Linked DNA regions of Mus musculus. The protein of the gene in region 1 interacts with the protein of each later gene in a pairwise test. Links are inferred from orthologs where the notes say so. Each region holds a gene or a part of one and is shown on either strand. Other genes may lie near its edges.

Region 1 (4,820 bases):
TCTCTTTATTCATCAGCATTGGGCACAGCAGCTTTGGAAGAGCCCCATTTCCACGCAGACCTTGGCCTCTTTGTTGAGTCTTCCCTACCCCCATCTGTCTCCACTCTCAAGAAAGTAAGTGTCCTGAGGCCTGAAAAAGACTCCCGCTCTGATCTTTGTGTATTTACCAGATAAAACACTTGTCTTGCTGGTATCTTGTAAGAGCCCCAAAGAGAATGGGCCCCTGTCACAGTTTTATTTCCACTCTACTTAGTTCCTGGTAACCTTGACATATTCCTATTACAGCCAGTCCTCAAGCAAGCATGCTGCTAGCTGAGCCTTTGCTGCTATGGCCTGGAAGGAACTACCCATGCTTATAGGGTGCTAAAAATGTAGCTGGCATTGCTCCAAATGCCTGTGGACAGGATCTAGCCCACACCTGTCAGGTTACTCATATGATGACCAGCGCCCCCCATTTCATTCCTCCCTGAGGTTTAGCAGCTTAATAAATAAGTGTGGTCATGCCTGAAACTCTTAAACCACGATGTATTATTTAAATTAATTAAAAGTTCTATGTCTGAATTCGCTTTTAAACCAGTAAAATGACATTCAGGCAGATTCAGGAAACCCTAGATCTTTCCAATATTTCCTGGTTACCGTGTATACCCCTTTACCAAGTTCATTTCAGCAGGGTAACATAATGGACTGACACACAAACAAAGCTGGGCAGATAATTCTCAGTACCTACCCTCTGGACTGTCTGAGAGATGTCAACTCACAAACTCCAGTCCAGGTTCTAGCTCAGGAGACATAAGCATCTTGCTAATTGCCACCCACAGGAAAGAAGGACAATGGATAAAACTTCTCTGCCATGTTAGGAAACTTCACTGTGCCCAGTAATATGCCTCTACTGTCAGTCTAAATGTTAATAATGTCCCTTTATTTCTCCAAAGTGACCTAATTTAAGATGATAGCCCCCCTACCCAGCCACCCTTTATATGTCACCTTGGAAGCCCCAGACAATGCTCCTTCACCACAGCTTTTAAAACCCTATGACAGGGCCCCCTGGAGCCCAAAAATGAAAGTGAGAATACTGGGATTGAACCAAGTTCCCCAACCACAATGAAATAATGGAGGTGAGTCACAATAGCCAATGGTAGCACTTAACCATGAAAAGACAACAGTTTGCTGCTAGTTTTGCAGTGCTTGATATTTATTGCAAAGAATTACATTGCTTTTTTCAAGTACTAGAGAGGATCTGGGCTGAATGCCTGTCCGTTTGCTTTTATTTTAGTAGTCCTTGTCCACATGGACACATCTGTGAGGCTGCTGCAGTTCTGAAAGGAAACGTGCTGTGCAAAACTGATGCATAGGAGAAAAGACATGTCAACATTTTAACTGTCCGGCAGGCACATCAGGTTCCTGTTCTGGTCAGGCAGATGTGGAACCTGGTAGTACGTACAGAACTAACCAGTCGGTAAAGACTGGCTGGCCCCTTCAAGGTTTGGTGAGTAGTCCAAAACAGAGTCTGAATGGGTGGAGTAGCAACTCCATCATCTTCTTGGTCCTTATCTTGAAAAGTGCTTCAGATGAAATTCGGTGAGTGGAGGTGAAATGTCAGGAATCTGCTTCTGGGCAGATGGCGGACTGGCCTGAGTTCCAGTGGATGTCAGCAGCAGGAATGCAGGTGGTCTGACCAGTTCTAATAGGGACCTGGAAAATCGCTGGAACTCCGAACAGAGTTCAGATTAGGATAAGTGCCTGAGGCCAAAGTGAGTTTCAGAGCAAGGTCCAGGCCCAACTCACAGCAGGTAACTGGAACAAAGACAAGTCCTGAAGGGAATGATGGAGCAAACAGACTGGCGGGGAAGAGGATGGCCATGCAAAGGGAGAGATTGAGGCAGCAGGAATGGCGGGTGGGGGGTTGGAATGAAAAGGCGTGAAGGCCCCCACCTCTAGGCCTAAGGGGGCTCCGGCCTAGTGATCTTCCTCCATTTCTTCCTCTTCATCATCATCACCATCATCTTCGTCGTCGGTACCCCAGCCAAAATACTGCTTCATCTCATCAACAAAGGCCTGATAATCACCGAGGACGTAGCTATTTGACTCGATGTAAGGCATCACCCACTCCTCAGCTTCCCCGGAGAGGAGGCTGATCAAGAATGCCACTTTCATGGCATCATTGCAGAAGTGCTCCTCATTCGCAAGCATGTAAGACATGGTCTGCATGATAAACTCAGGGAGCCGACCACTCTCGCCGCTAAACCGTGAGGGGTAGGGCACCGGACAGCTCGGTGGACATACCTGGCGCAGCAGCCTGGCCCGCTCACACACCAACAGTCGCAGCTGCTTCAGGAGCTGGTGGTTCTCCATGCACAGGGCTTGGTGCCTATCCAGAAGCGCGTGCAGAAGCGACAGCAGCTCTTCCACCATGGTTAACTGCTTGGACGGTCTCGGTCTCGGTCTCGGTCTCAGTCTCGGATCGGCTCCACGGAGCTGCACAGAGAGGCTGAGCAGGAAGTGCGGGTCCTCAGAGGAGTGCGGACCCTGGGCAATAAATGGAGGGGTCCCAGCCAGCGGCAGAAACTCCACCCACAGGGTCACTTTACAAACCTGTGCGCTAGCGCAGTGCGGTAAGGAAGGTGTGGCTGGGAAGGGTGCGGGATGGCGTGGGGGCGTGGTCAGGGTGGGACTGGTGGCCAGAGTGGATGTGGCTGAGGAGGAGCAGGGCGTGACCCAGGAGCTTCGCTGCGGGGTCCCGCCAGTTCTTCCACCTGGAAGTAGGAAGGCTGAGGGAGCAAAGCTTGCCACAGTGGAGAACAGATGCTCAGCCCTCAGGGCTGGCCTGCTCCAGCTGAAACTTTTCTGCAGGCAGCCTGTTCATCTAATTCAGTGTTCCTTTGTGGGTCTGTGGCCATCAGCTTCTTTAAAGTGATCCTTTCTTAACACATTTTTTTTTCTTTTTTTACTTTTTATTGGATATTTCTTTATTTACATTTCAAATGGTATCCCCGTTCCCGCCTCCCTCCCCTCAAAACTCCCTATCCCATCCTCCTCTCCCCCTGCTTCTATGAGGGTGTTCCTCCACCCACCCACCCACTCCCATCTCCCCTCCCTCGAATTTCCCTACACTGCGGTCTCCAGCCTTCACAGGACCAAGGGTCTCTCCTCCTTTTGATGCCTGACAAGGCCATCCTCTGCTACATATGCGTCTGGAGCCATGGGTCCCTCCATGTATACTCTTTGGTCGGTGGTTTAGTCCCTGGAAGCTCTGGGGGTGAGGAGTGTCTGGTTGGTTAACACATTTCCTTGCTCATTTAAATCTCACTCGGAGAAATAACGCTGACTCTGTGGGCCACCGTGCAGGAGGTCATTTGGGTTCCAAGTCTAAAAGACTCACAGGTAGACTCACTTTCATTAAATAAATAAATAGTATGCAACAAAAGACTTCTCTTTGACAAGCAATTTTGTTAACAAGATTTGCAAACACCAACCAAAGAGAAAGCACAGGCTGGACCTAGGCCTTCCTGCACACATGTAGCAGATGTGCAGCTTGGTCTTCTTGGAGGTTCCCCAACAACTGGAGCAAGGGCTGTCCCTGTGTCTGCTGCCTGCCTGCTTGAGGACCCAGTTACTCTAAATGGTTTGGCTTGTCTGTCCTCATTTGGAGAGGGTTTGACTTGTTGGGTGTGTGTGTGTGGAGGAGGATGTTATTTTGTGAGGATTTTTATTCTCAAAAGAGAAGAGAAGGTGGAATGGAGGAAAGACCTAGGAGAGGGGACACTGGGAGGAGAGGAGCGGGTTGATATTGAGATGTAAAGTGAAAAAAATAAATAAATTTAATAAAAAAGAAAAAAGAATGTCCTCCCCCCAAAAAAAGATTTATAAAATGTATACAGGGTGTCCACTTGTAAACATCCTATCTTTGATTCTTATCATGTCCTGTTTATGAGTACCTTTGTTCCTGTGTAGTTAAACTACCATGTGCACTGTTAAATAAGCCTGTCTGCCTAGTTTGAATGTGATTAGTTGTTGATAACTAAGTTTCGTTCTGGGTCATCAAGCTGATACACAATGGGTCTGCTTTTAAAAATATATCTCCAAATTCAATCAATTCTGGTCCTATCTGCTACCCTGCTACATCGAATCCCTTAGCTGCCAGCCTTGCCCTTTAGCAGCATGCACTCTGTACAGTAAGTTGCCCAGAACACTTTAAAAGGTGAGTTAGACCCTTTCACTTCCCTGTTCAAGGCCTTCCAATAGTTTTTCCCTCTCTGCTTTTCCCAGTAAAAAGCAAACTCTTGGTCATAACATACAAGGTCCTGCTTCTCCTTGCTATCTTCACCTGACCTCCTGTTAGGTTCTATTGCTGACCTGCCTATGGATTTCCACACATATCAGACAGTTCTAGCCTCTGCCCTTCTACCCATCCTATTTCCCTTTTAGCAGCCTAACTCATTTTTATACTGCTTTGAGAAAGGTCTTCCCAGCTATCTCATCTATATTTGAATTGTCTTCTCTATCAGCAATTTGTGGCTCCCACCCTATTTCAACTATCTATATAGTAACCATCATATTAAATGTCAACATTATCACCTGCCTCCACTTTTAAATATAAGACAGTGCAGTAGAGGGGCTTGGTTTTGCCCAGAGAAGGGACTCCCCAGATATCTGGCAAAGGAAAGGATCTTGAGAGACAGGTGTTTCAATAATAATTAAGAGAAGTGGCTGCACAGTGTGTCCAAAAACATTCTCCAATTGTCTATTATGTTCTAGCTTCGACCATACCAAAATTTTCTTTGAAAAAATAATCGCTGATGAAATAAAAATGACGAAGTATC
Region 2 (5,205 bases), on another chromosome or scaffold:
GTAAACTTCCAGGACCCGGGGATCCAGCTGAGGCATAGGGAAGCCCGATACCTCTGACATGACAGTCTCCACCTCTGTCTGCTTCTCCGTCAACTTCTCCATGATGATATCAGCCAGGGTGCGCCTATGGAGACACGGGAAAAAGAGAGGTGGAAAGAATTGGGGTCACTTTCCATGAAACTGTAACGTCCCCTCAACCTGTTTTTTATCTTTGTTGTTGTTATTTGACACAGGGGTTTTATGTCTAGCTTTGCCTGTCTTAGAACTGGCTCTGTAGACAAGGCTGACCTCAGACTCAGAGATCCACTTGTTTCTGCCTCCTTTGTGCTGGGATTAATGGTATGCCTGGCTCTGTTTATTAAAAAAGAAAGGCAGTAGTGGTGGTGTAAGCCTTTAATCCCAACACTTGGGAGGCAGGCAGATCTTTGTGAGTTGAAAGGTCAGCATGGTCTTCATAGGGAGATCTAGGCCAGACAGCAAGCCCCGTCTCAGAGGGGAAAAAGAAAGTCACAAAACATCCCCAAACAAAACAAGAATGCTTCACAAACTTGCATGTCCTCCTTGCATGGGGGCCACGTCCCTGTCACTGTTCTAATTTTAGTGTACGGGAAGCTGGAAGCGAGCAATGTATAATTCCCCTGGACGCTGACAAATCTCGATCCCGCTGGGATGCACAGCCTCAGTTCCCCTCTATGTCCATTTAGCCGCCTCAAAGTGCTGCAGAGCACGGGCCCTGGATGTCTCTGCATCTGACGCAGAGCCAGAGTGGTGGGGACGTTAGGCCCTTAGGCCCTGAAGTCAGCTCCGGCTCTTCTGGTCCTTGTATGATCCTGGGCCCGTCACTTGACTCCTCTAAGCCTCAGTTTCCTCATCTGTAAACTGGGGAAGTAAAAGGACCCCCCTGGACAGTCAGCTGAAGGGTAAAATCTAAGACTGCAGCAGGCCCGACTCTCAGCCAGAGCCAGCAGGTCCTGAGGGCTGTTTACTTCAAGCTCACCTCCCACTGCTCACACAACGGGGAGCAACTTCTGAGTGCAGAGTGGAGCTCTGTGCCAGGCAGCGCTGGTGCACACCTTTCATCCCAGCGCTCAGAAGGCAGCGGCAGGCAGAGTTTTGTGAGTTCAAGGCCAGCCTATCCTACTCACCCAGCACTTGCCTAGCAAGGATGAGACCTGGGTTCTGGCTTCCAGCACAAGGGGAAAAAGTTTCTCTGCAGTCTTTTTCTGTGCCGAGCAGCACTGAATCTGACACTTTCCAGACTTGTGTCCTGTGGTCTGCATGACACTGGTGGCAGGTGCTTTTATTCCCCCGCACTGCCCAGGCCGGGGAATCGAGACTCAGGGCCAACCAACAACTCTCCTAAGCCCTAAGACTTTCTCAGGGAAAGGGTAAATTTTAGTCTTTCGACTTCTAGTTTGGGTGCTTCGCAGCGTCTTCAATGTGCCTTAAGTGACAAGGCCTGATTGCTGTGTTCCCAAAGACCCTTAGCCTGGTTTCTGAAGATGCCAGCAGCCACTGCTCAAGAGTGCCCACGGTCCCCCTTTCCACCATGTTGTCACTTCCGTATAGCAACTGCAGAAAACATTCTGCTAAGTTTGTCAGATCAAGAGCCACTGGGTATGAGGTGCTGCCCGAGAGCCTTTGGGGGGCACATCACACCCCATGACCATTCTCAGAGCTGTCAGACACCTTCAGGGGACAGGGTTCTCCTGTGTTCTCTGAACCCAAGCTGCTCATCACCGTACTATTAATGATAGTGGTGTACTACACCCCACTCTGAAGAATAAACTGGTTGAGCCCCTTTGCCCTAAGCCCAGTCCTCTCAATGAGGCCAGATCCATCTGAATGGAACCAAGAATCTGACCACAGGCAGCCTAAATAACTGCATGTTTAGAAGTAGCATTTATAACACATGGGGGTACGTTTGTGGTTCTACCCAGAGGTAGTTTTAACCCCTCTGGGAACATTTTGTCAGAGATAGCTGCTATTGGCCCCAACACTGTAACTGAGATGGAAAACCCTGAGTTAAAGACTAAGCTATGGGCTGGCGAGATGGCTCAGCAGGTAAGAGCACTGACTGCTCTTCCGAAGATGCTGGGTTCAAATCCCAGCAGCCACATGGTGGCTCACACCCACCCGTAATGAGATTTGGTGCCCTCTTCTGGTGCGTCTGAAGCCAGCTACAGTGTACTTATGTATAGTAAATAAATCTTTGGGCCAGAGCGAGTGGGGTTGGCCAGAATGAGTAGAAGTCCTAAAATTCAATTCCCAACAACCATATGATGGCTCATAACCATTTGTACAGCTACAGTGTACTCACATACATAAATAAATTAATCTTAAAAAAAAATAAGACTAAGCTATGAGAGTAACGTACCAAGAATAAACACTACTAAACGGATCCCCAGCTATCACAAGGAACCGGTAATCCAGAGGTTCCAGATCAGATGGGCAAAGGGGAATCCGGGTCACTCCCGTTCAGGGGCCACTCTTGGCAATGGTCAGACCAACAGCTGTGGTCTGGATGAACTTTCTACCAGGACCCACTGGTCCAACCTTTAAGCCTTACCTCACGGGAGGATTCTTGTTCATGAACATTTCAATGGCACGCTCATCTTCAGGGTCCACGATCACCTCTGCCTGGTGGTCCACCCCGGCCATTTTGGCTGCCTTCTCCAGGGTAGGCCACTCCTCATCCTCCTCATCTGATCCATCCTGTGGCAATCCCGGCCCTACAAGATAATCCCAGCCGCAGGGGCTTGTGAGTCAGTTCCCCATTCCACGTACAGCACACCCAGGGAGCAGGAGGGACACCTGCAGAGGGACTATCCTTTTGTCCCCAGAGACTTGGAATCTTGATAGAAAATACAGCACACGAAGCGAGAGATGATAAGGCCAGTAAAGACTGGATGACATGTCCCCTCAGTGAATGGATGACATGTCCCCCCTCAATGACCAAGAAGGATCCATTCTATACTACACACATGTAACCTGGTCTGTCCAGATGACCTCAAGGAATAGGTACTGTTGCTATACCCAGTTCAAACCGGGGCAGAAGAGTTGATGTGCCCACAGTAGGTAGGCACTGTGGGTCCTGACTTCCCACTATGTTGCTTGCACAGTGGAACTGCATCATGTGCTGAAACTAAAACCATGGTGGAGGCAGTGTGCACCTCAGGCACTTGGATGAGTACAGAGGCTGAGGAGGCTCTGGATGGGCAGTCTGGGAGCAAGAGCATGCTCCACGTCCTGGAAAGTAATGCTGTTAGAGTGTTGGGCACTAAGGAGCCAGAAAGGAAACGGAAAGCCAACCTGGAAGGCTCTAAGGCTGGGCAGTGGCATTCGGACTCTGATCAACCAACACATTTAAGTTACTGGCTTAGGTAGTCGAGGATGACTTGGGAGTTCCTTGTTCTCGCGCCTCCACTTTCCAAACACGCACCACAGTGCTGAAGGCTGAGCTTCTGATGTTGGGTTAATCCCGTGTGTTCCATGTAAAGGCTGCCTGTGTACTATTCACATGTTAATCTTTGTTCCAGCAGAGAGCTGAGTACAGTCGGCATTGGTTTTTTTTTTTAATGAAGCATCACCTGTCTCAGTGTTGTGGAAACTTCTTCTCCATCACCTTCTGATTGGTTTAATCAAAAGCTGAGTGGCCCATAGCAGGGCTGGAAAGGATAGGCGGGACTTCTGGGCAGAGATAGGAACTCTGGGAAAGAAATCAGATGTGAGGGGACTCAACAGCCAGACACAGAGGAAGAAACACGTGCTGTTACTGAAGAGCAGTAACGAGCCCCGTGGTTGAATGTAGACTAGTATAAAGCAATTATGTTGTATCAGCGAGTTCGGAACAAGGCAGCTAAGGCCAAGCTTTCATAACTAATAAGAGGTCTCTGTGTCCTCACTTGGGTGATAGGTGGGTTGAGCCATTCCTGCCACATCCTGAGGTCCTGACCATGGAGTCTTGGCTGGGTACTTCCTGAGTGCTGGGATTAAAGTCATGTGCCAATACACCGGGCTGACTTTTGAAATACCGCACATAGCTGGCAAGGCAGTTGGGAAAGAGTCTAATAAACCAAAGTAGTTGAATTATTACCATAGCAACAGATCAGTTGCTATGGAAGTGGACTAAGGGTATATTATATAGAGCTCCAGAGAGTACACAGAGCATACCCAGTGAGAGCCAAGGTTGTTTGTTTTAGGTTTATTTTACTTTTAATGTTTGAGTGCTGACTGCACGTATGTCTGTGCACAAGTGTGCCTGGTGTCTAATGACATCAGAAGATGGCATTTGATCCCTTGCAAATGGAGTTACAGACAGCTATAGCCTGCCATATGAATGCCAGAAACCAAACTTGGGTTTTCTGCAAGAACAAGTGTTCTGAAGAGCTGAGGACCAACTCTTGAGAGTTTTCCTCTGTTCTCTACACACATCATGCCACGCACATGCACACAAAATACATGTTAAACAAAGGAAGACAAGAGCTATGAAATACGACGTAGGGAAAAGAGAGAAAATCAGGAGACAGTCACTGACATTTGTGTGGTGTTTTGTTGTTGTGATCATTTGCTTTTTGTATATGAGTGAACCCTGCATCATGGAAGTGACTCTTGGGAGCTGATGACCTTGTTTTTGAAACAGGATTTGACTGGGACCTGGGGATAGCTGATTAGGCTAGACTGGTTGCCCAGTAGGCCCAAGAGATCTGTCTTCTACACTGTAGCTCAGAAACTACAAGCTGCTGTGAGTGGAAGTCAGGGCTCATGCTCTCTCAAAGCATGGACCTCACCAGCTGTGAGCATTATCTTATCCTGTCCCTAGCTTGTGGTCAGACCTGAAACAGAGACAGACCAGACAGGACGCCATCAATCTCTAGCTGCTGAATGGACCACAGAGGTCACAGAATTCAAAGCACGATGTTTCCACAGTGATCCAGGGGAGAGACCCTGGTAGCTTAATCAGGGAGTGTCTCAGGTGAATGGAAAGTGGTCTGGCTCTGAAATACTCTAAAGACAACATCACCAGGATTTACTTTGAAGTGAGAAAGAGGAAGCCTGGACTCTGACTGGAGCAGTGGAGCTAATGTGCTAACAACCTCCAAGTAGCAAACAGAGAGCAAGTTTGGGAAGGAAGTCACAACTTCTGTTTTAGATGCAATCTTCTTCTTTTATTTTTTTTTTTCCTTCTCCGAGACAGGGCTTCTC
Region 3 (4,600 bases), on another chromosome or scaffold:
TTTGTGTGTGTGTGTGTGTGTGTGTGTGTGTGTGTTTGTGTGTGTGTGTGTGTGTTTGTTTTAAAAACTATATGTCACCATGTAGCCCTGGCTAACCTAGAACTTACTATGTAGACCAGGCTGATCTGCCTGGCTTCAGCAAGGGACTTTCTCAGGAGCCCAGGCTTTGGGCTCCATGTCTCGAACAGTGGCTCTCAAACTTGGCCATGCCAAGAATGATCTTGGGAGTTAGTGAGCGTGAAGCCCTGACCCATTTTAGACCGAGGAATGAGGGACCAGCATGCCCAGATCACGTCCCACTGAATAGAGGCTGGACTTGATTGGTCCTGCCTTCTGTCTTCCATGGCAGCTGCTGTGACAGCCACCCATGACTTCTGGCCTGTTTATTAGTCCTGGGTCCTCATAGCCTCTTTTCTGGTTGCTTTCTTCCAGGGCTTCCGAAACCTAGAAGATCTCCAAAGCCTGGGCTCCCTGACCGCTCAGCAGGCCATTGGCTTGAAGCACTACGATGACTTCCTGGACCGCATGCCCAGGGAGGAGGCTGCGGAAATTGAGCAGACGGTAGGCACAGCTCGAGCCAACAGCTCCTGAAGCCCTAGCTGGGCAACCCCACAGGCAGCGGAAGTTAAGAGGTCGACAGAGATTGTGTCTACCAGAGCTGTAGGTCCAGGAACCCCAGGTGGGGTGGGCACTGCAGTGGCAGCCCTCTGGTCTCAGGGTCACTAAGCATGAACTCTGGGCACTAGTCGCCTAGCATGGGGCAAGCACAGCCTCAAGGCCTGAGTACAATCAAGGCCTGAGTATGTCGTTCAGAGGTAGCGCTCCTGAGCATGCCTAAGACCCTGCCCATCCTCAGCATCACAGAAAGGGGGAAAAAAAAAACAAACAAAAAACATCTAGTTGGCCAAGAAATCAGGTTTAGCCAAGTTAAAGGTTCAGCTTAGAGCTAGGGGCTGAGTCTGTAAGTTCATGTGCAGGGTTGAGTCAAGAGAGACGGGGTATACCAGATGTCTGCTATTTGTATAGTGGCATTGGGAGCAGGCTGGTACATGGGCAGGGGTCTTGGTGAGTGACAGATGAACCAGTCTGTTAGCAGAAGGATCGGAGAGACCTAGTGAGGAAGAATAAGCCTCCACCAGCGCCCACAGATGGAACTATGGGACCGGTGCTGGATGGATAGACCCATCACAGAGCTGCGGTGCTAATGCGGACCCCTGCACTCAGCTACGGTGTCCGGGCACAGAGAATGCCCTGGTCAGCCGCCAGCTCCTAGCCCATCAGAAGAGACCGGCTTCCCCACTGCAGGCTGCCTGCAAGCAGGGCTCCAGCTGTAGGGATTCCGGTGGGATTGCTCAACCAGACGGCCTCTTCCCATTCTCCTGGGAGGTCCAAGAAGGGATTGAAGGGACCAGCAGAACTATGTCAGGGCAATTGGGGTGTCCTGGCTGTGAGCACCCAGGGCCCCTGAAACTGCAGTGTCCTGCAGAGGGGGCGGGCTAGGTCTCTCAGGTCCTTCTTTAACAGGCCGGCCTCACCCCTCCAAGAACGGTGTGGGCAGCTCCTGGCCTCCCCTTCCCACAGGTGCAGTGGTATTTCGTGCTTCATTTTCTCCCAGCCGGGTTGGAGGCTGTCTGCCAGCCACCTGCTCAGGCCTCGACCCTGAGCTTCCACACAGCCATCAGCTACAGGCTGCTTGAGCTGCATGGGCGTGGCCTTTGTGATTGGCAGGCCTTTCACAGGCCTGGCCACTGGATGTGAGTCGGGGGCCAGAACCCACGGAGTGTCACTCGGCTCTTGCACAGGAGCCTTCTGCTGAGGCAGAGCCAATGTCCTCAGGCCTCTAACAGGCTTGCCTCTCCAGTGCCCCGGCACGTCCCCTCAGCTTAATATGAATCCCGGGGGAAGGCTGGGGCGAAGGCTGGGTGCTGTCCTGGGAGAGGCCTCAGACTCTCACCCCTCCCTGTTCTTCCCCAGGTCCGGATATCAGCCCAGGCCTTCAACCCTGGGCTGCTGTGTGTGGCTTGTGGCTCTTACCGACGGGGGAAGATGACGTGCGGGGATGTGGATGTACTCATTACTCACCCCGATGGCCGATCCCACCGGGGCATCTTCAGCTGCCTCCTTGATAGCCTTCGGCAGCAAGGTATCCATTTTGACTTTGGGTGAGCAGGCTACCAGTGGGCAGCCACCTCCTAGCAGTCACTTCCAAGTTCTCGATTTGAGACAGACTGGGTGGGAAAGGGCTCTGCAAGAATCCTACCTCTCCTGGGGCCAAAGACAATAAAACAGGGGCAGATCTCACCTGATGACACTGCCCGCTTTCCACAGATGAGGAATTGGGCCCAGAGGGGCGAGGCCACTCAACTCAACACACAAATAGGCACAGGGTATGCTGGGAATAAAGATCCTTAGGCAACCTGAGAAGGTGAGACTATCAGGCCTGGCTCCCTGCCCTACCAGACATCCCTTGTGTTGGACCAGGGTTCCTCACAGATGACTTGGTGAGCCAGGAGGAGAACGGCCAACAGCAGAAATACCTGGGTGTGTGCCGGCTCCCAGGGCCCGGGAAGCGCCACCGGCGACTGGACATCATCGTGGTACCCTACTGTGAGTTTGCCTGTGCCCTGCTCTACTTCACCGGCTCTGCCCACTTCAACCGGTCCATGAGAGCTCTGGCCAAGACCAAGGGCATGAGCCTGTCGGAGCATGCGCTCAGTGCAGCTGTAGTCCGGAACAGCCAAGGTGTCAAGGTGGGGCCTGGACAAGTGCTGCCCACCCCCACGGAGAAGGACGTCTTCAAGCACTTAGGCCTGCCCTACCGGGAGCCAGCTGAACGGGACTGGTGACCTAGGACTTGGAGCAAGGGGAACCATGTTGAATGAACTGACTCATGTAGCCATCTCCCACCCTCTTAGCTGTGCCTCGCTTTGTAGGTTACGCTTGCCCTGAGTGACCAAGCTAGGAGCTTTGGGCCTGCGGGGAAGAGCCAGTCTGATTCTGAGAGCCCGCAAGCTCTCTCTCCTGGACAGGATTTATGCTGCTGTCCCCTCTCCTCCCAGTGACAGGTTTTCACACGGCCCCTTCCCTGTTCAAGCAGAACAGGTGGCTGGTTTCAAGGCGGTTTCCTGCACTGAAGGCCCGAGCTTCCCTTTCCACCCCAAGACTGATGTAGCTGTGTGGGGTCAGCAGGGGCTGCAGGAGAGGGAAGCAGCTGTGGGCTCAGCGTCTTCCGTGAGCCTTCACAGTAGAGAAAGCCATGTGGATTCTCTCACCCGCTCACTTCCTGTGCAGCTGGAGCTGCTGGGGGTGGCCTGTCCAGACCATGAGGGTGGCTTCTAAGGGCCCTGGGGCCTAATAAAGTGCTTCTGACATTCAAATTGCCTGCTGTCTGTGAGCTGCTCCAACCCCACCTGTTTGTCCTCCATTCCAGCAGAACAAAGATGGGAGGGGCTCACTGTCAGAAACCCACTGACTGCCTTCTAGTCCAGCCTGGGGTACAGGGTAAGAGGGGGAATTGGAGTCGATACAAGGGGCCCCTCTCAGTCCTCTCTGTGGCCCTAAGATGGGACTATTGTGGGACATGAGCCAAGGTGACAAGTTTGAAGGAAACAGTAAGAGATGCCATGCAGGAGTGACCTGGAAAAGGAGCAGGCAGGGTAGTAAGGAGGTGACCATCTAAGAGGTCACGAGACTTTAGGACCAGTTAGGAACCAGTCATAGGGAGGATGCTGGGGTTGGGGAGATCTGGCTCCACGGTTTGATTGATGGCCCAGATTGTAGTGAGCCCGCAGTGTATACACTTCTGAGTTGGGCTTACGAGTCAGGGAAAGCGGGCAGAGGTGGAAAAATTGATGGATCCAGAGTCAGAAAGCTTCCTAGAGAGACCCCAGGACCCACTGGGAGATTGTGGGGTAAAACATGAGGCAAGCTTAAGCCCAGATAGTCTGTGGAGTATGAAGGGCGTGTGTGTGTGTGTGTGTGTGTGTGTGTGTGTGTGTGTGTGTGTGTGTGTGTAGAAGGGTGTGTATGCATGTTTCTATATAAAGGTGGGCATGTGTTTCGGTAGAAACCCAGAATTGGTTTTTGTTTCCTTGATCTCAGTCCTGGCCTCCTTTTTGTTTGTTTGGGTTTTGTTGTTGTGTCTGTTTGTTTGTCTGGGCAGTGGTACATACCTGTAATTGCAGATACTCAGAAGGCAGGAAAGTCATAAGTTCTGGGCTAGCCTGGGCTATGTAGGAAGTTCAAGGCATCTCAAAGAGAATAAAACAGTTCTGGATGCTAGCATCTTGCGATCAGACCTTCAGCTCAAGCCCGTATCCCTGACACCAAAGCTAGAGGACCTCCCCTGCATAGGTCATGCTGGGAAAAATGACCAATCGTGAACAAGCCGCGTCCAAGGATCCAAAGCTCCGTGAGGGGCCTTTCTTTCTGTGGACTTTCATTTCTGCATAGAGTGGCTCCTTTTTGTTTGTTTGGGTTTTGTTGTTGTGTCTGTTTGTTTGTTTGCTTGCTTGCTTTTCAAGACAGGGTTTCTCTGTATAGTTCTTGGCTGTGCCAGAACTGTTTCTGTAGACCAGGATAACCTCAAACTCAGAGGTTG
Region 4 (5,205 bases), on another chromosome or scaffold:
AAGAAGTGGTGATGGTGGCCTTCACTGCCATCACACCGAGAGCACATGGATTGTGAGTAGCCTGCCTCTTCCTGGCTTGGGACGGTGCCCCCACCCCCACCCTACTTCCCTCTGCTCCAAGCATTGTTCCAAAGCCCTTTCAAACATGGCATCCAGACAGGGGCAGAAGGAACTCAGGGGAAATTTAACCATTCAGATAACAAAAACAAAAGCCACAAGCCAGATTTAGTGTAATATTTTACAACAGCAGAAAACAAACACAAGTATTAAACACTAACAACACACTACAACCCAGGGAAGAGGACATGCATGCGGAGGCTACAGGTATAAGCCAAGTCTTTACAGTTGACTGCTGAACTGGTTATGACGCCCGTTGTGCTGGTGACAGGACTAGCAACTATTGTTATCTGGAGATATCATCCTCCTGCCCCAGGACCTACTTGCAGCAAAACACATAGGATGTATTTTTATCTTCACAAAAGAGTAAGAGTTCACTCTCAGTGATCAGTCATCACAGCGAGCAGAGGTGGCCTCGCTGGCTTTTTTCAAACTGCGTGAACTTAAGCATCAACTAACTTACACTATCCCTTAAGTTCTGGATGAGAAAGGCACCTTCAAAGGCAGAGATGTAGATTTCTATCAGTCTCAGCGTCAGCCGCAGCTCTGCTGATCACACCACAAGAGTGAGTGACGCCAGCAGCTAGCTCAAACAAGAGATCTGTCCTTTATCCTTCGAGGCTCTTAGTCAAGATCTTGTTCCTAGAAAACAAGTGTATTTATGGATTCATTCATTTATTTATGTCTTCCTTTTCCACTTCACCACCCCCCCCACCTCTGACTGAGATCAGGCTTGCCCTGAACTCTCAATCATCCACCCCAGTCTACACTACAAGTGCTGGGATTACAAGGTGTGTCATACCCAGATCAGAGACCAGAACCAGGAAAAGGTACTAAGATCTAAAACAGACAAGAAAGATCTGTTGGGAATATATGCATGAACCGTCAAGTTTGATCCCCAGCATGGCATCTATGCCAGGCCTGGGGGGACACCTGCAATCTCAGGCTGGGAAAATAGAGACAGGACAGTGAGAATCTCTAGGTGAGCCTTGGCTCCTGGCCGTCCCAAAGGCGCACAAAAACATATTAGTGTGGCATAATGCCAAGTAGGAGGCAGAAGGTAGATTTTTGGCTCCAAGTTTGAGATTAGCAAGCACAATCTACATAGTAAGTTTCAGACCTGGAAACGCAGCACCTTGGGTGCTTACTTACACGAGCAAGATAAGTAATATTCCAACACAGCTAATTAAAATGAACCTTTCCCGCAGGCAACTTAAGTGCGCACAGCACTCACTTATGAACACACTTGGGGCACAGCATGTTGTCCTCCAGGTGTGGGGGTGGAAATGTGCAGGCCGGAAGCAGGAAGAGGGCAATGGCTTTTCCTTTCTTATCGGGTACCCAGGCTTGTCCAGCGTGGAACTGCAGCCGAACCCAACCACGCGAGTTCCCAGGAAGGCTGGTCCCATGAACCACACACCACATTTCCCCTGTGGGAGCAAAGAGAATTAACACGAACACACCAGTTTCAGCCTAGACTTGATGCCTCTCTGAAATGCCAGCCCTGAGGTAAGACTGGGAATCCAAGCTTCATCTCAATCCATCTTGTTACCTACCATGAAAGTATACAAGAAACCTCCAGGCTTTAGGGTTATCGATGTAACTCAAGTGGTAGAGTATTTCCTTTAGCCTGCATGAGTGATTCTAACACATCACACATACACCAAACAAAACTCCCAGAAAATTGCTGGTTGGTGGCTGTACAGGAATTTAATCCCAGCACTAAGGAGGTAGAGGCAGGCTGTCAGGTTGAGGTCAGCCTGATCTACAGAGCTTAGTTCCAGGACAGCCGGAGTTAGAGAAAATAAACAACAATCAAAAACCACCCTATTAAAAAAAAAAAAACCCAAGGGCTGGAGAGATGGCTCAGTGGTTAAGAGCACTGACTGCTTTTCCAGAGGTCCTGAGTTCAAATCTCAGCAACCACATGGTGACTCACAACCACCTGTAATGGGATCTGATGCCCTCTTCTGGTGTGTCTAAAGACATCTATAGTGTACTCACTCACACACACACACACACACACACACATATATATATACATATATATATATATATATAATAAATTAAAAAAAAAAAAAAAAAAACACCCAAATGGGGGCTGGAGAGATGGCTCAGTGGGCAAGAGCACCTGACTGCTCTTCCAAAGGTCCAGAGTTCAAATCCCAGCAACCATCTGTAACGAGATCTGACGTTCTCTTCTGGGGTGTCTGAAGACAGCTACAGTGTACTTACATATAATAAATAAATAAATCTTAAAAAAAAAAAAAAAGTGTTCTCAACCTCTGAGCCATCTTTCTAGCCCTAGACTCAACCACTGTTATCATGCTAAGCATGATTTTCCTTCATTGCATTTCTTTGCTATTCTTACAACCCAAGCTCTCTTATCATTTTGAAAGTCTCAGGAAGCCTGAACTCAGATGTTGGGGTCATTGGCTTATTATGACATGTCTGATTAGTTATGCTTATGTTATTGAGAAGAAAGAGTAAATTGTTAAACATCATCAACTTAACACATACCAAGAGATCCTAGTCTTCAGCCCCCCGTTCTTCAAATGAAAAAAAAAAAAAAGTAGGAAGAAAGCCTACCAAGCACATGGCTTCTTGCTTGGTGAGCGAGTAATACGAAGTTATTTTCAAAGCGTGACTTCCTGGATCAACAGCCTCGTTATCACCCGAGTAGCTCATAGAAATTCAAGGTAAAAGGTTCTTTCCTGTCTACCAGGTGATTGTGGTGCATATTCCAGCACTCAGGAGGCAGAGGCAGGAGGATCCATGAGTTCAAGGCCAGCCTGATCTACAGAGCGAGTTCCAGGACAGCCAGGGACACACAAAACCTCAAAAAAAAAAAAAAAAAAAACAAAAAACAACAAAAAAAAAACAAAAACAAAAAAACAAAACACAATGAGGATTCTTCTTACTGCAAAGGAATACTAGCTCTCAGTGAGACCCTGCCCAAAGTAGAACTTAAACACAATAGCACGGGTGAGGTCCAGGAATCACTGGTGGCTGTGACTGATTCTAACCTTTGACTTCTGATGAGGACGAAGCATCGGCTGGCACTGCCTCGTACTTCTTAGCATTGGATGCAATTCTGGCCCAAGATGCTAACACGGCCTCAGTGGCAGGTGTAGTCACTACGGTGGTGCTGACTTCCTCATAGAGCATAGGAGGGTCAATGAGGGCAGGTATCTGCTCCTCTGGCACAGGGACCATTTCCAGAGGAACTGTCACCTCAGACTCCTCCCCCGGTTCAGTCTTCATTTTTTTGTGAGCTGTCTTCAACCTGGCGTCTTTGGCTGAGTCAGGGACGTTCCTCAACTCCAGCTAGGGTATTATAGATAATGGAAAACATTAAGGGCTGACACGTCAGTGGGTAAGGTACTTGCCATGAGAGACTTGGAATTCATATCTTCATAATCCGCATATAAAGCTACACAAATGGCTCACACCTGTAATTGCAGTCTTTTTTTTTTTTTTTCTTTCCAGAGCTGAGGACCAAACCGAGGGCTTTGTGCTTGCTAGGTAAGCGCTCTACCACTGAGCTAAATCCCCAACCCCTGTAATTCCATTCTAATGCTCCTGTGATAATAGGATGGGAGGTGGAGCCAGAGACTCCTGGCCAACATTATATCCATCAGCAAGCAACAGAGACTCTGTCTTACAACAAAGAAGAAAGCAAGGACCGGATGACACCCAGCGAAGTCTTCTAACCTGTAGCACATGTGCACCCACAAGCACACACATAGAAAACTGTGATGGGGTGGGGTGGGGTGGAGGAGATGATGCAGCAGTCACAAGCACTCACTACGTTGGTAGAAAATGTGGCTTCTTCCAACCACCTGAATGGTGGTTCACTATTATAGCTCTAGATGCAGGGAACTCTGTGCCCTTATGCCAGAAGAGGGCATGCCTGTGGTCTGTTACTTGGGAGTTGGGAGGCGGTGTGTGTTTGTGTGTCTGTGTGTGTGTGTGTGTGTGTGAGAGAGAGAGAGAGAGAGAGAGAGAGAGAAGGGATTGCCTGGCCTTAGTAATTCAAGACTAACCTAGAAAATGGTTGTAAGTCCTATTCTCAAAAATCAAAATGCTGGCCAGGTACTCAGGATGCAGAGGCAGGAATTTTGCTACCAAGTTTTGGGCCAGCAAGGACTATCTAGCAAAACCCTATCTTAAAAACAGAAATTAACAAAAACAAATAAATGAGTTATCCAAGAATAGTGGCACACACCTGTAATTAAGAGTCCGAGAAAGGAGGTTCTTGAAGTTCTTAGGCCAGCCTAGGCTACATAGACTCAAAACAAAAACAAAAACAAAAACAAAAACAAAAAAACAAAAAACAAACAAAACAAAACAACAAAACCCCCACAAACAAAAACCCAAACAAAAACCAAAAGCAGGGATGGGGTGGGTTAGGGACTGTGGTGTGAGGTGCAGCGCAGTGGTAGAACATGCATTCATGCATTAAAATCCTAGATTCATTTTCCAGCACCAAAATAAAAAGGACCCACCTTACCTAGTTTTATTCATGGTCTCTCTTCCATTTGGGGATAGAGGGGGAAGAAGGGAGTCAAGGCAATCCCTCAATTTATTCTCTGATATGCCAGTTATTAGAAGAACCAGCCAGGTGTGGTGGCGCATGCCTTTCATCCCAGCACTTAGAGGCAGGCAGATTTCTGAGTTCGAGGCCAGCTTGCTTTACTAAGTGAGTTCCAGGACAGCCTGGGCTACACAGAGAAACCCTGTCTCGAAAAAACAAAAAAAAAACAAAAACAAAACAAAAAAAAAGAACCAAACCTTTCCCTCTGCCACTATCCCTTAAAGTGCAAAGTTCCATGCAGGGCTTGGAAGGCCATGTCCGTGAGGTAGGTGGATCTTGAGCTTGAAGCCACTTTTATTTTCAGACTGACTGTCAGGCTAGCCTGGGCTAATACTAAATAGTTTCATAAAAAAAAATATAGTTACCATTTGTTCTGGGAAAGCCCTTGCAAGGAGTCGTTTATAAGCATCTAATTTCTAAGACAAAACAACAACAACAACAACAACAACAAACAAAAGATAAAAAGAGTTGTTAGTGAAGTTCTGGCTGCC
Region 5 (4,081 bases), on another chromosome or scaffold:
TCTTTCTGACCTGTGGGAGGGACCCAGGCCAAACCTCCCTCAATGCATGCTTTGCATAGGGCCTTCAGACTTCAGACGCTCCATGCTGTGAAGACTGTCTGGTGACAGCTCTCATCAGGAGCCCTCAGAATCACAAGACACCAGTGCCGTTAGAACAGTGTTATAGACATGTCTGTGTTGTGCTGCTTTCATGTTATAGACATGTCTGTGCTGTGTTGCTTTCACGGGCTCATTCCAAGAGCAGATCATTACTTGTTTACAAACGTGCTCATCTGAGCGCTGTGCAATAAAGTCAAAGGATATCAAAGGTCTTACTTTGATATAGCAATTGACTCACAGGATGTAGGTCTTTAACCTGCTGTCTGGGAAGTTTTATCACACCCAGGGTCTCTTGAGAGTGCATGCAACACTTTCTAATGTATGTGTGGATACACACTTTTTTTCAGTAGGGCCTGAGTTCACATAGTCTTTATCTCAAAATGATCTATGGTCTGAAGGCTCACTTGTACACGTGACAGGTTCCAAGCTCAACATGAAAGTGTAAGCTAATAATGTTTTTCTCTCTCCCCAATTCAAACAAATAGCTTTGCTTTTAATTTTACTATACATATGGTTTTAAACAAATTATCTTTTATAAGAAAGCTAGATAGGTAAACATCATTCCTAGCCACAAACATTAAGTCTGATAAAGCAATTCATGTCAATAAACCTTGAAAAAATGAAATAATATACATACAAACTTTACTAAGGTCAGAGTACAGCCCCATTCTTCTTCCTAAAAGATGTTCCTAAGATGTTTGTTAGGGATCCACAATTCTTCCTTAGAACCTAAACATTATATAAATAGGACATTAATCTTAAATAACTTAGGAAGTTTTCACTTTCTAAACTACTATGTATCTAATTAGGGATGCTCATCCCAATTAAGAGTTAATTAATAATTATTTTTAACCAATTAATCTACTCTTAGGTATAATAGTGCCAAATAGTTACATTTCCTTTGCCAACAATTTGTATTGTAGCACTGTTCTGAAAAAGGAAATCTATAGCATCAATGACACAATCAAGATTGGTCACTGTACAACAAAGGTACCTTTATGTGGCAGGGGCTAGGGACTGAACCCAAGGCTTTGTGTATGTTAGGCAAGTGCTCTACCACTGAGCCATATCCTTAGCCCCTAGAAAATGTACTTTCTTAGTGAGTACATACACGTAAATTAAAAAAAAAAATTACAAACTGAAAATAATTTCTTTACTTAGGAGATGGAAATTTTTCTTCTAATTTTAAGATACAAATATTACAGATCTTAGTTTCAGTTTGAAAATTCAATTCATGGCAACTTTGTTCCCTTTTAAAACTGGAAACAGCTGGGTGTGGTGGCACACACTTTTAATTCCAGCTCTCGGGGGAGGCAGAGTCTGGTGAACCTCTGAGTCTGAGGCCAGCCTGGTCACAGAGCGAGTTCCAGGACAGCCAGGGCTACACAGAGAAACCCTGTCTCAATCCCCTGCCCCCCAAAAAACCAAACCAAAACAAAAAAAAAAAAATCAAAACAAAACAATACCCCCACCCCTCGAAAAAAAACCCAAAACCAAACCAAAACAAAAATCCCAATAAAACAAAAACTGGAAGCAGCATTAATACCAATCTGGAAACAAAACTAGCAGTGCTCTGGCTTCTTTAAAGCCGGTATCTGAAAGAAAAATGCTAGGTTAGGTTGAAGACTTCTGGGGAGGGAAGGGGTAAGCTGCATTATTTCTAGTGAACATATTGTTTTTGCTCTGTATTTGTGATTACAGGATATGACTTCAAGATTAAAATTACTCTAGGAACACCTTACCTTCTAAAACAACGGCTTGATTTCTTTAGCGTATTGGGAACTAAACCCAAAGTTACAAGGGAAATATGGTTATATTTCATATTTGGTTAAAGCAAGATAAAACTGTCTTTCAAAAATCTTCAAAAATTCTTGAATTTTAAAATTATTTATCATATATACAAAAGATACCAGGCTTCTCTTTTTAAACAGAGCACTATTTTTTAAGTACTTTAAGTACCAAGAATTGACTATAATACTCAGTTCATAATTTACTTTCCTTATAACAATTTTTTCTAAATTACTGAATTAAAAGGGTGGAATAAATTAACATTTTAAAACAATTTCCCATAACTTAGGAAAATAAAATATTGTACACAGAGCACACAAACTCTGTCACATTTGCATAATTTTCTCAAAACTTCAAAAACCCCTGCACTTCAGGCCTCTTGCAAATTCTTACAATGATCTCCTAGTTTATTAAACATACACTAGATCTCGGTTGTTTCCATCGGAGCTTGTGTGTTGATCATCTTCATCAGACTGTTGTTCTGAGCCCTGTGAATGAATGTATTCATACTCAATAGGCTTTGGATAATTATATGGGTAGCCATTGTCATCAAAAAACCTCCGAAAGGTGAACTCATAGAAAGCGTGCTCGGGGTGCTTCCCATTTTTATACCATCCGTTCAGAGTGTCACTGATATTTTCCTCCTCGCTGCCATCGCTCCACAATTTATCAGGATCAACAGGGTCGAAATTGGATGTATCTGTTGGATGCGTGATTTTAGGGATGTATGAAGCAGACTGCTGTCTCAGATCACTAGAGAAATCGATGGTCTTAAAAAATGGATGAGCCTTTATCTCATCAGCACCGTTCTTGCCGAGGCGGTCTTCTGGTCCTCGACAAAGTTTGATAATGAGGTCAGAGGCTTCAGGACTCAGCTTAGCTTGAGGAGGGATGTGAAGAGAAGTTTGCCAGTTGATAACCTTTAGAGAAGAGTTTTAAAAATTAGGAAGAGATAAAACACAGTAATTTCCCAGGTTTTGTACCAAATGTCTTCCTGGACTACTTGGTTTTCTAAATGATCTGCCGGGTACTTTACCTTTAATAATAATCACTGCTGAAAACATATACTCTCCTGTCCTCTCCCCGTGAGAAGAGTCACAGTAAGGTTGTTTGCTTTGGTTTGATATTTGTTGTTTTGTGTTTTGAGACAGGGTTTCTCTGTGTAGCCCTGGCTGTCTGGGATTAGCTCTGTAGACCAGGCTGTCTGCTAACTCAGAGATCCGCCTGCCTCTGCCTCTGCTTCCTGAGAGCCTATGCCACTGCTGCCCAGCCATTTGTTTGATTTTTTTAAAAATATTTATTTATTTTATGTATGAGTACACTGTACCTGGAGAGATGGTTGTGAGCCATCATGTGGTTGCTGGGACTTGAACTCAGGACCTCTGCTCACTCCAGCCCAAAGACTTATTTATTATTATATGTAAGTACACTGTAGCTGTCTTCAGACACTCCAGAAGAGGTCATCAGATCTCATTATGGATGGTTGTGAGCCACCATGTGGTTGCTGGACTCAGGACCTTCAGAAGAGCAGTCAGTGCTGTTAACTGCTGAGCCATTTCTCCATCCCCATTTGTTGATTTTTGAGACAGGCAGGATCTAGTAGCCTTGGCTGTTGTGCAACTTGCTAAGTAAACCAGGCTATCCTGGTACTCACAGAGATCTTCCTCTGTCTAACAAGTCCTGGAATTTAAGGTGTGTAAAGCTATGCTAGGCTTAAACAGGTTGAACATTCCCAATCCAAAAACTTCAAAATCTGAAATACTTTAAAACATAAAAATTCGGGGGCTGGAGAGATGGCTCAGCAGTTAGGAGCACTGAGAGCTCAGAGGTTCTGAGTTCAATTCTCAGCAACCATATCTGTAATGGGATCTGATGCCCTCTTCTGGTGTGTCTGAAGACAGCTAGCTTACAGTGTAGTATATAAGTAAAATAAATCATTTTAAAAAACATAAAAATTCTTAATGTTGGTATGATATCATAAGTAGAGAGCTCTATACCTGAGCTATGTTGATTACATTCACAAAGAATTCACAGGAGCTGGGGTACAACTCAATGTTAGAGCAAAGGTCTAGCATATCCATGGCTTGAATCTTACTGCTCCAAAAAACCAAACCAACCATAAAGAAATAAAGGTACACTAAAACTACAATGTAAAATTACCATCAGGCTGGCTAACATATACAATGATGTCATG

What was found.
Region 2: the proteins of Ldoc1 (region 1) and Bysl interact in binary tests that used the Homo sapiens proteins (3 or more experiments, as listed by UniProt). The two-hybrid records come from large-scale screens. The link is inferred for Mus musculus from reciprocal best matches to the Homo sapiens genes LDOC1 and BYSL.
Region 3: the proteins of Ldoc1 (region 1) and Poll interact in a two-hybrid assay, tested with the Homo sapiens proteins (2 studies listed by BioGRID and IntAct). The two-hybrid records come from large-scale screens. The link is inferred for Mus musculus from reciprocal best matches to the Homo sapiens genes LDOC1 and POLL.
Region 4: the proteins of Ldoc1 (region 1) and Dppa4 interact in binary tests that used the Homo sapiens proteins (3 or more experiments, as listed by UniProt). The two-hybrid records come from large-scale screens. The link is inferred for Mus musculus from reciprocal best matches to the Homo sapiens genes LDOC1 and DPPA4.
Region 5: the proteins of Ldoc1 (region 1) and Lats1 interact in a two-hybrid assay, tested with the Homo sapiens proteins (2 studies listed by BioGRID and IntAct). The two-hybrid records come from large-scale screens. The link is inferred for Mus musculus from reciprocal best matches to the Homo sapiens genes LDOC1 and LATS1.

Annotation. Positions count from the first base shown.
Region 1 is NC_000086.7:61,707,302-61,712,121, reverse strand, and holds Ldoc1 (protein LDOC1), read right to left. Parts: upstream 2,512-4,820; 5' UTR 2,413-2,511; coding exon 1,957-2,412; 3' UTR 1,172-1,956; downstream 1-1,171. UniProt on the Homo sapiens protein: May have an important role in the development and/or progression of some cancers.
Region 2 is NC_000083.6:47,604,270-47,609,474, forward strand, and holds part of Bysl (bystin), read right to left. Parts: intron 2,733-5,205; coding exon 2,570-2,732; intron 125-2,569; coding exon 1-124. UniProt on the Homo sapiens protein: Required for processing of 20S pre-rRNA precursor and biogenesis of 40S ribosomal subunits. May be required for trophinin-dependent regulation of cell adhesion during implantation of human embryos.
Region 3 is NC_000085.6:45,551,052-45,555,651, reverse strand, and holds the end of Poll (DNA polymerase lambda), read left to right. Parts: intron 1-432; coding exon 433-561; intron 562-1,974; coding exon 1,975-2,143; intron 2,144-2,328; coding exon of another isoform or gene 2,329-2,402; exon of another isoform or gene 2,403-2,481; coding exon 2,482-2,846; 3' UTR 2,847-3,377; downstream 3,378-4,600.
Region 4 is NC_000082.6:48,289,253-48,294,457, reverse strand, and holds the end of Dppa4 (developmental pluripotency-associated protein 4), read right to left. Parts: intron 5,131-5,205; coding exon 5,080-5,130; intron 3,445-5,079; coding exon 3,144-3,444; intron 1,548-3,143; coding exon 1,352-1,547; intron 760-1,351; coding exon 726-759; 3' UTR 166-725; downstream 1-165. UniProt on the Homo sapiens protein: May be involved in the maintenance of active epigenetic status of target genes. May inhibit differentiation of embryonic cells into a primitive ectoderm lineage.
Region 5 is NC_000076.6:7,711,227-7,715,307, reverse strand, and holds part of Lats1 (serine/threonine-protein kinase LATS1), read right to left. Parts: intron 2,808-4,081; coding exon 2,298-2,807; 3' UTR 1-2,297. UniProt on the Homo sapiens protein: Negative regulator of YAP1 in the Hippo signaling pathway that plays a pivotal role in organ size control and tumor suppression by restricting proliferation and promoting apoptosis.